Linked DNA regions of Drosophila melanogaster. The protein of the gene in region 1 interacts with the protein of each later gene in a pairwise test. Each region holds a gene or a part of one and is shown on either strand. Other genes may lie near its edges.

Region 1 (3,777 bases):
TGGGCCCTGTGCGATAGGCCAAAGGAATTTTTCAAATTTTTTTTGTTCTGAGAACACAAAAATCTCACGAAATTTGTATAGCATTTCATCCTTAAGAAACTCAATTCACAATATTTATAATTTAGCTAAGGCGAATTTATTTCTAGTTCATGTTATCATGTTATCTCGAACTCACCGTTTATCTTGTATAAACATTTACCAACACAAGCACCTGAGTGTACATGAGGGTGTATGACAACACAGGTACGACCAAAAACTATTGTTTTTGGGCGACGAATTAAAGAAATATCTATGACTTTACTATTACTTACCGCTTCGAAAGTAAATTTATCTGCTCAAAGGCAGGTTAACGCACTTTTGACGCACTTAGATATTTAAATTCGACAAAAATCCCCGACTATGAAAACTGTGTATATGAGCGCAGAACAGATAACCGATAACTCCTCTATCGCAGGTGGCTGCCAACTTGCTTCAAAATAGAAAGCGCACTTTTTAAATTTCCAAAAGTATTCAAACACTGGTCTTTAATTTCTTAATACATATTTAAGTTGGGCAAGCAATATTGGTTTATGCAGTCGTAGAAGTGGGTTCATCGGTTATGGTCACAGCAGCTGGCGGCGGATCGCCGGCCTTCCGTTGATCCCTAAAGAACATGACCCACGCGCTCTTATGGATCTCTATTCCATCACATAGGCCATACACCTGGGCAAATCCGAAATAGGCAGCAACAGCGGCGACACCGAAGAGAGGTACCATTATGACTAGTCCTCCCAGGCAGGCGAAGAACACCATGGACACAATGGTCAGGAGTGTGCCTAAAACGAGTCGATAAGAACGTGATCTCTGGTAAACACTACGGAACGCACCTTCTAGCACCAGCAAACCTGTAAAGGTCATAACCATGGTGGCTATTCCAAACCCAAATATTATAAGGAAGGGCAGCATGAATACAAGACCACCAGCTAGCAGGCAGATAGCAACGTGCGGATTCCGGGTGCACCAGGCCGCGGTGGCCTCCAGGAAATCATTTCCACCTAGCTCGGACATCACAAAATCTGCCAGGCGGCAGATTTGAAGCCCTGCAATATGGCAACGTTATAACAAAGGCAACTTTTGTTACGCGGTGTGATGCATAAAACAGGTTAACAACCGTACAGAGTAGTACATATATAAGTAACTAATTGTGGCAGTAAGCAATTAAGCGCTTTTACAGATAGTACTTCAACTAGTGGACATACATGACCTGTAGAGAGTCTGGAGCAAGCTCTCCAGGAACTGGTCGCCAGTCAGAACTCCTGCACTACGATCGCCTGGGCCATGTATCTTTACGTGCTCCGGTTTGCTCTCTGTTCCCGATCCCGCAGACTTCTTGGCGTTTGCCTCTTTGGCTGCTTTGCGAGCCTTGTTCGAGTGAGCCTGCAGAGTCGATCAAATCAAATCAGTTATGAATATTATGTGAGTCAAAGAACCCAAGTGATTAGATGCCGGCTGCCACTGAGTCCGTGAAACGCGACCTTTGACTTGCGATGCCGATTCCAGCCGAAATCTACGGATTCTTCCGAAGATGCCGGAACACCCACTTCACTCACACCCGTACCCACCATGTTGCGTGGCTACTGCGAGAATCTCAGGCGGTTGCTGTGCGCATTACAGGAGGAGTCTGTTCCAGGTTCATTCGCCTGCTTGAAGCAACAGTAAATGAAAACAATATAAATAAACAAAAAATAATCGACGTCGTAGCCCTGAAACTAAATCATCGAGGGAGAGCTGCCACCTTTTTTTTTACTAAATTTGAATTAGACAAGATGCGTTTCTTAATAATGATCTAGCGTGGCTTAGTTTTGCTTTTTAATCATAATTAATTTGTTTACAAAAAAAAAATTAACACTATGTTAAAAAAAAAATTATAAATTTATAATGGCGGTCAGCGTGCGACATTTCTTCGCCGTAGGATTAGTGAAGCAGGAATCTGAGTCCGTTAAACGGAGGACGCGCCGTAATCCTCTCCGCCACCAAGCGCTCCCCGTGAACAGTCATGCCGCAGCGCACCTTCTTGGCATGCAGAAAGTTCAGATCGGCGGCTCGCTCTCCACTTTTGAGCGGCAACCAGCCGTACACCTGCGACTCCAGGAGCGGAACAGCTTTTCCGAGCTGCCTCTGACGCTCCACATGCTTCTCAGGCCAAGTGTGCCGTAGGTACCTCAAGGTATCCGTCGGCTGGCGTTGCTCATACTGGGCGTAGAACTTCCGTGTTAGCGGATGAACTGGAAGGCAGGAGAAGATATTATTAGCAGTAGTGAACAATTTTGTAAACTATTGTAAAACTTTCAATGATTAAAGTTTTATTTTTACAGGAGCGCTACGATGCAACAAGCTTGTCCTCAAACATGATATACCGAGCTAACCAGAAATCTCTAGCATACCTTGGCTCACTGGAACAAAGGTTTCGTAAAGTCGGATGTGCCGGTTAGATCTATGGATCAGCTCCTTTTCGAAGTCGTAGGGCAGCGGTCGGGGATCCCCCTCGCGATGATCCAGTGCGTCGCCATTCTCCTCGACCTCGTCGGTGGTTTCGAGTCCCGGTTTCATGCTCCTGCACGTCTACTATTTTGAGCCCCGAAGGAGAGCTCTGTTTACGGAAATCCAGGCAATCCGTCCGCAACGCGTGGCGTGCTCGGTTCGTTTGACTGGCTGCGGACTGCGCTGCATCAAGGACACCTACCCCCCACAATCCCCTTGCCTGCCGCTCACTGCCTGCCTGGCTGTCTTTTCGTTTTGGCAGCAACTTGTACTCATTAAAGTTTTCCTATTGTTGCTGCATGGCAGGCAACGTTACCAATACTGTACACGCATCCCCACGACGCAGCCCACGGGGCCCAAGGAGTTGCTGCTCCCAACTCCCGGGGGTGTCGATGGCAGTGGTGTGACCCACAATCACAGTTTCACCAACGTCAGAGGCGCCTGTCGGGCGAATTTCCCCAGCAGGTGCTGTGGGCTGTCCGCGATGTATGCGATTGGCTCAAGAGAAAGTAAAAGGACGTCAGCCAGTGATGAGACGGATCACTGGTTATATTCAAGATTGGAATTGGTTGAAGTATAACCAAGTGTACCGAAGGCGAAAGTCATCGATTGGTTGGAACTGGAACTTATCTCGCCTATTTTAAGGCTAACTACTACATTGTAAACAATAGGAGCTTACTATACCTTCGCATCACTGCTTCCAGCACCCAAGGGCTGGCTCCATTCATGTCGTTGGCGTAATTTAGTACAAGCCCAAAACCCAAATCCCTGAAGTAAACAGCAATATCCGAAAATAAACCCATTCGAGCGATTGCCTTTGCGTGTCCAAACAATCGCAGCCACAAAATTATCTAGAGGCAGAGGAGCAGGTGGCCACCACATCCGGCACTTGGCCGCCGCGATTCTCAACATTTGCTTCGGGTTGTGCAACTCTCTCGATTCGTCGTAAATTTTAGCCTAATCGAATCTAATTGAATACATAAATACGGAAATAAATCAATTTAATTACAATACAGCCAACAACAGTCATCGCAAATAGTTTACACGCACACAAGCACTCGAACCATTATTATTACAGATATAAATTTGTTTAAGCCTTGGTAAGGTATTGAGAAAACCTCAAGAGTTGCGGGTTCATATGCTAATTAAATTAATTGTCGGCACAAGTAGGACCACTTAAGGTTCTTTAGCTATACATATTTTTGGAAGTTCTATTATCATATCTTAACTGAGCTTTAAAAAATCGCTGGTAAACAT
Region 2 (4,424 bases), on another chromosome or scaffold:
TTGCCTTTTCGATTTGGTGGATCAACATTTGTAAGAATTCCTTGATGGCTATCTTCTGGACTACGAGATTACAAGAGTAAGCTTCGAATTAATGAGGTCCTTTCCAAGACGTAGTAATTCAAGTTTGTAAGAATTCCTTGATGATTTTGATCCCGAGCTTATAAAAATTTTAGTTTAGGAATATTGGAACCAATGAGAACTATGGGAAGACATCGACAACCCCAGGCGAATGGACGGCATCCTGCAGCATCCCAATGAGCAAGAATATACATAATTCGAATCATCACGGAACATATGATGAAATGGATTCCCTTAAGGTGGCGGTATGCTGCTGAGTGACCAAAGAAGTTCATTGCTAACCAATGGCGAGAAACTTTGACCCCATTACGAGAACACAATCCTTGATCACCTCATTGTATAAATCGTTTCCCTGACAGGTGCCTTCACCGACTCCCGCTAGAACAGATTATACACTGCCTATGGTGTATACTTTGTGTTAGCGGGTGTCGGAGAAGCCACCAGTCAGGGAACGATTTATACAATGAGATGGGCAAGATCTTAAATAGTGATTCCGCTCTTATGGATGGCATTTGACCATTAAAAAGAAAGTTATACTCAAAATCTAAGCGCATAAAAGAGAACTAGTGAGACTGGAACTTATATTATAAATAAATATTTAAAACAACTCCTTTTACACTCATTATTAATTTACCTGCTTATCGCTAAACACTCAAAATCTACTTGACTAAAATGAAATATAGACAAGCATCATGTAGAACATCAAATGCAGAAATATCCAGAACCAATAAATCCTGTAAGAAATTAAATACTTTAATGTAATTTTTTTGAGTCCAAAGATGCTTTACAATATGGAACGGGACTCTCCTTATCCCCATAAAAGGAAAATTTGAACAACAATCCTATTCTGAGCTGGATACTAAGACGGAAATAATAAACGAACGACTCACCTGGTCACCATAAACTTGTTTGAGTCAACGGTGAACTTCTCGCGGTGCAGGTACTTGTTGATCCCAATCATGTGACGCCGCACATACTCGTCATAGTCCATCTCCTCCAGATTCCAGTAGAGAGTGGGATATGTACCATTCTCAATCATTTCCTTGAAATAGAAACGGCTCTTGTTCTTGAAGATCCACTCGTTCAGCGAAAAAAAGCTACCTGTGGGCAGTTCAATGAACGATTGCATTTGCTAAAGATGTTTCATAAAGATACCTGCTAGGCAAGCCTGTCGGAATTTCTTGGCAATTGGTGTCACCAGTCGCTTCTTTTGGGCCAACAGCAGGGTTTGCAGATCCATTAGCAAGGCGGGCACAAAGTGAAGAACCCATACAGCCAACTCGTGGTTAAAAGCACTGCACCTATACTTGAAGTTGGGAAACATAATCATCCGCCGGGTGGGATAGATACGAGACCACTTCATTGTTAGCTCGCCAAGATGCTGCCAGGTGATGGGATTGGTCACTCCGGAAGTGGCGTTACAGATGCTCAAGCTTTGGAATATCAGCATGAGAACTAACATGATAAGTATAAGGAGTATTTATTATCCACTTACCTTCCCAATTTCGCCTTGCCGACCATCATGATCATGGCATTGACCACAAAGTCCACTGGGATGATGTCACATATAAGATCCTTGTTCCCTAGGATGCTGCTGATGCCGCCCTTGCCAATTTCCATCATAATACCGCTGATGGCCTGGATATTGTCAATCCATCCGGGATAGGGCTCCCTGTACGCAGCAGTGACTATCGAAGGCCTCACTATCACTATGGGAATCACATCCTTGTATGCATTAACAATCTGCTCGGCAATGGATTTGGTGAAGGTGTAGGTGTTGACATGCGGACCCTTTATATAATCGGCCAGGCGATTCAGATAGTCGTCGGGTATTTTCTGGGTGGCAGAAAGAAACTGTCGCCAATCTACCGGCGGCATGGTGGGGTACACTTGCTCATCAACATACTTGCGACCCGGATTGCAGTAGGCCGTCGAGACGTACAGAAAACTCTAGAGATTTTACCCATTACTTAGCAGTAAAGATAAACTCTACGGACTGGAGCTCCTTACCCTTAGATAAGGCATCTGCCTGCAGAGCTCTAGAAGATTGTAGGTGGCCTGTGAATTTACGCGAGCCGACACTTTTAGACACTCATTGAATCGTACCTGGAATTTGATGAATCAAACAATCAGTGTGAAAAATCTTGGGGAATCCCCCTCGGACTCACTGTTGCTGCACTGTGGAAAATAATGTTGACCTCGGCACACAACACCGATCTGTCGGACTCATTTAAACCTGTTGGTGGAAAAGTCTGGTGAAGTCATGAGTTTTCATTTAAAGTTTCTCTGAAAAGCCATACCTAAGTTGTCGTCCTCAATGTTGCCAGAGAAGTGAAAGATTTTCTTCAGCTGCGTTGGATGCTCCGATTTTATGCGTTCGAAAATGGGATTCTGAAGGAATCCGCGAAATCGTTCCTCTACTGTGACTCCGCCCTTAGGTCGGATGAGCATGTAGATCCGCTTGATCTGCGGAAAACTCCAGAGCAGCTTCTCCAGCAGCGACTTGCCCACAAAGCCAGTTGCTCCTATTAAAGTTAACCATCTTTGAACAGTCTCTTTTGGAGATCGCGTCTGTATTACCCGTTATGAAGACCACAGCATCTTGGTAAATATCCGTCTGGTGCTCCACAGTACTCACTTCGGCGTTGTCCATGGTGTGGCCACTTTGAAGCCACGATAGCTACTGATCCGGTGAGCTACTCACTTTCAACGCCTAACTGGCTTGGCAAAAGAAATGCCTTGGTCCTCCCGAAACAAGTTTTTCGTGAAAATGCAAGTGGAACATGCAATTGGCCAACGAAAATAGCAACTCAGACGTAACATTTGAGCACAAACATATTACATCATATTTCGATGGGGATGTGGACAACACTAGACCTTCGTTAATGATCATTGAAGAAGTCATGAAGTGGGAGTCCATACCATTGGCTAAGAGTTCTAGGCCATTTTCAATAATTCAAAAGCCATGAACTTGAAAACTCCGGAGTAGATAAGTATTATATCTATTATATAAAATATGGCGATACCATTAAATTAAATGTATCCACAGCTGCGAAGCTTTCCAATCAGTTCGAATTCCGATGTTGTTTACCTGTCCAATTCATTAGCTTCAATCATGTCAATTGCCCGCCACCGCGATCGGATTCCCCGGCTAGATCCTCCCATAAATCCGTAAGATCGCCGCGAAAATAGATCGCAACTTGTCGGCCAAAATGTTTGCACAATCGGTTAGGAACGTTGCTCCGCTTATTTGGAATGATTTGATTAGCGACGACGTCGTAGGCAGGCACCGCAAACCGGAGCCCTCGAGTTTACCTGCCCAGGTGAGGTGCTAAGCGAAGTCGCAGTCATGCTGGAGGGTCGGCACTCCCAAGACGTGGTAACTAAATTTGGCAGCTAACTAAGAATGAAGAAGGATAATCTTTATCGAGGCTGGATGCCCAATATACGCCGAAACTCACCTGCTCCTTTGGACTTGGGCCACATGGCGCATAGCTTCACCTGCACCGATCCGAAGGCCAACGAGGTATCTCCTCAAACTCCACACCCGAAAGCAAATAATCTAGCAGATGACAACGATGACGATGTCATCACACACATCATGGGGAACTTTGGGCCCTGGCAACTGCGCTCCCTGCTCATCCTATTTCTCTGCAAGATTCCAGCCGCCTGGTTCATGGCCTGCATCCTGTTCACAGCGCCGGATCTGTACCCCGAGGAGGAGTACAAGTGTGATACGACGGCTTTCGGGCCGGATGTCAACTCCACCGTCTCGCTGGACCACTGCTATGTGATGGTTAACTACGGAGAGTCCGCCTACGCCATGCGCCAGTGTCGAAAGTTCCTCTACACCACGGGTTTCCACTCCCTGACCATGGAGTTCGATTTGGTGTGTCTGTGCGACTTCTTTGTGGCCTGGTCTCAGTACTGGCACCTCTTTGGCCTCCTAATCGGTGGCGTGGCGGCCACCAAGTTGATGCGGGTCCTGAGTCCCCGACAGATTTATAGAACTGGCATCTGGTGCCTGCTCATGTGCAGCCTACTGATGGGTCTTGTCAAAGACTTCAGTCTGCACTGTGGACTCCGATGCCTGGCTGCTGTTTCGTGCTGTTTTATGATCACCTCGGGGCAGTATATATGTAAGTAAAATTGAATATTTAAGAATACTTTAATATTAAATAACCTACTTTTCAGTTGGTGACATAACAGCGGGAAAATATCGCGTAGGAACCCTCATACTTTACGACTGCTTCTGGGCTCTGGGCTTGATTCTGCTCCCTGGCTTGGCCTCCAATGCTCCCAGCTGGCAGCACATATACTTGGGCGTAACTCTTTCCTTGCTGGTG

The links.
Region 2: the proteins of Ldaf1 (region 1) and CG4770 interact in a two-hybrid assay, tested with the Drosophila melanogaster proteins (one large-scale study listed by BioGRID).

Annotation. Positions count from the first base shown.
Region 1 is NC_004354.4:1,900,199-1,903,975, forward strand, and holds Ldaf1 (lipid droplet assembly factor 1), read right to left. Parts: upstream 1,714-3,777; 5' UTR 1,605-1,713; coding exon 1,515-1,604; intron 1,417-1,514; coding exon 1,239-1,416; intron 1,080-1,238; coding exon 867-1,079; exon of another isoform or gene 816-866; coding exon 568-815; 3' UTR 501-567; downstream 1-500. Other genes in the region: CG32801 (uncharacterized protein), read right to left, coding at 1,954-2,264, 2,424-2,589.
Region 2 is NT_033777.3:19,916,839-19,921,262, reverse strand, and holds CG4770 (uncharacterized protein), read right to left. Parts: upstream 2,757-4,424; 5' UTR 2,732-2,756; coding exon 2,659-2,731; intron 2,604-2,658; coding exon 2,379-2,603; intron 2,315-2,378; coding exon 2,247-2,314; intron 2,185-2,246; coding exon 2,089-2,184; intron 2,029-2,088; coding exon 1,574-2,028; intron 1,512-1,573; coding exon 1,234-1,511; intron 1,180-1,233; coding exon 969-1,179; intron 813-968; coding exon 746-812; 3' UTR 679-745; downstream 1-678. Other genes in the region: CG4465 (uncharacterized protein), read left to right, coding at 3,485-4,217, 4,273-4,424.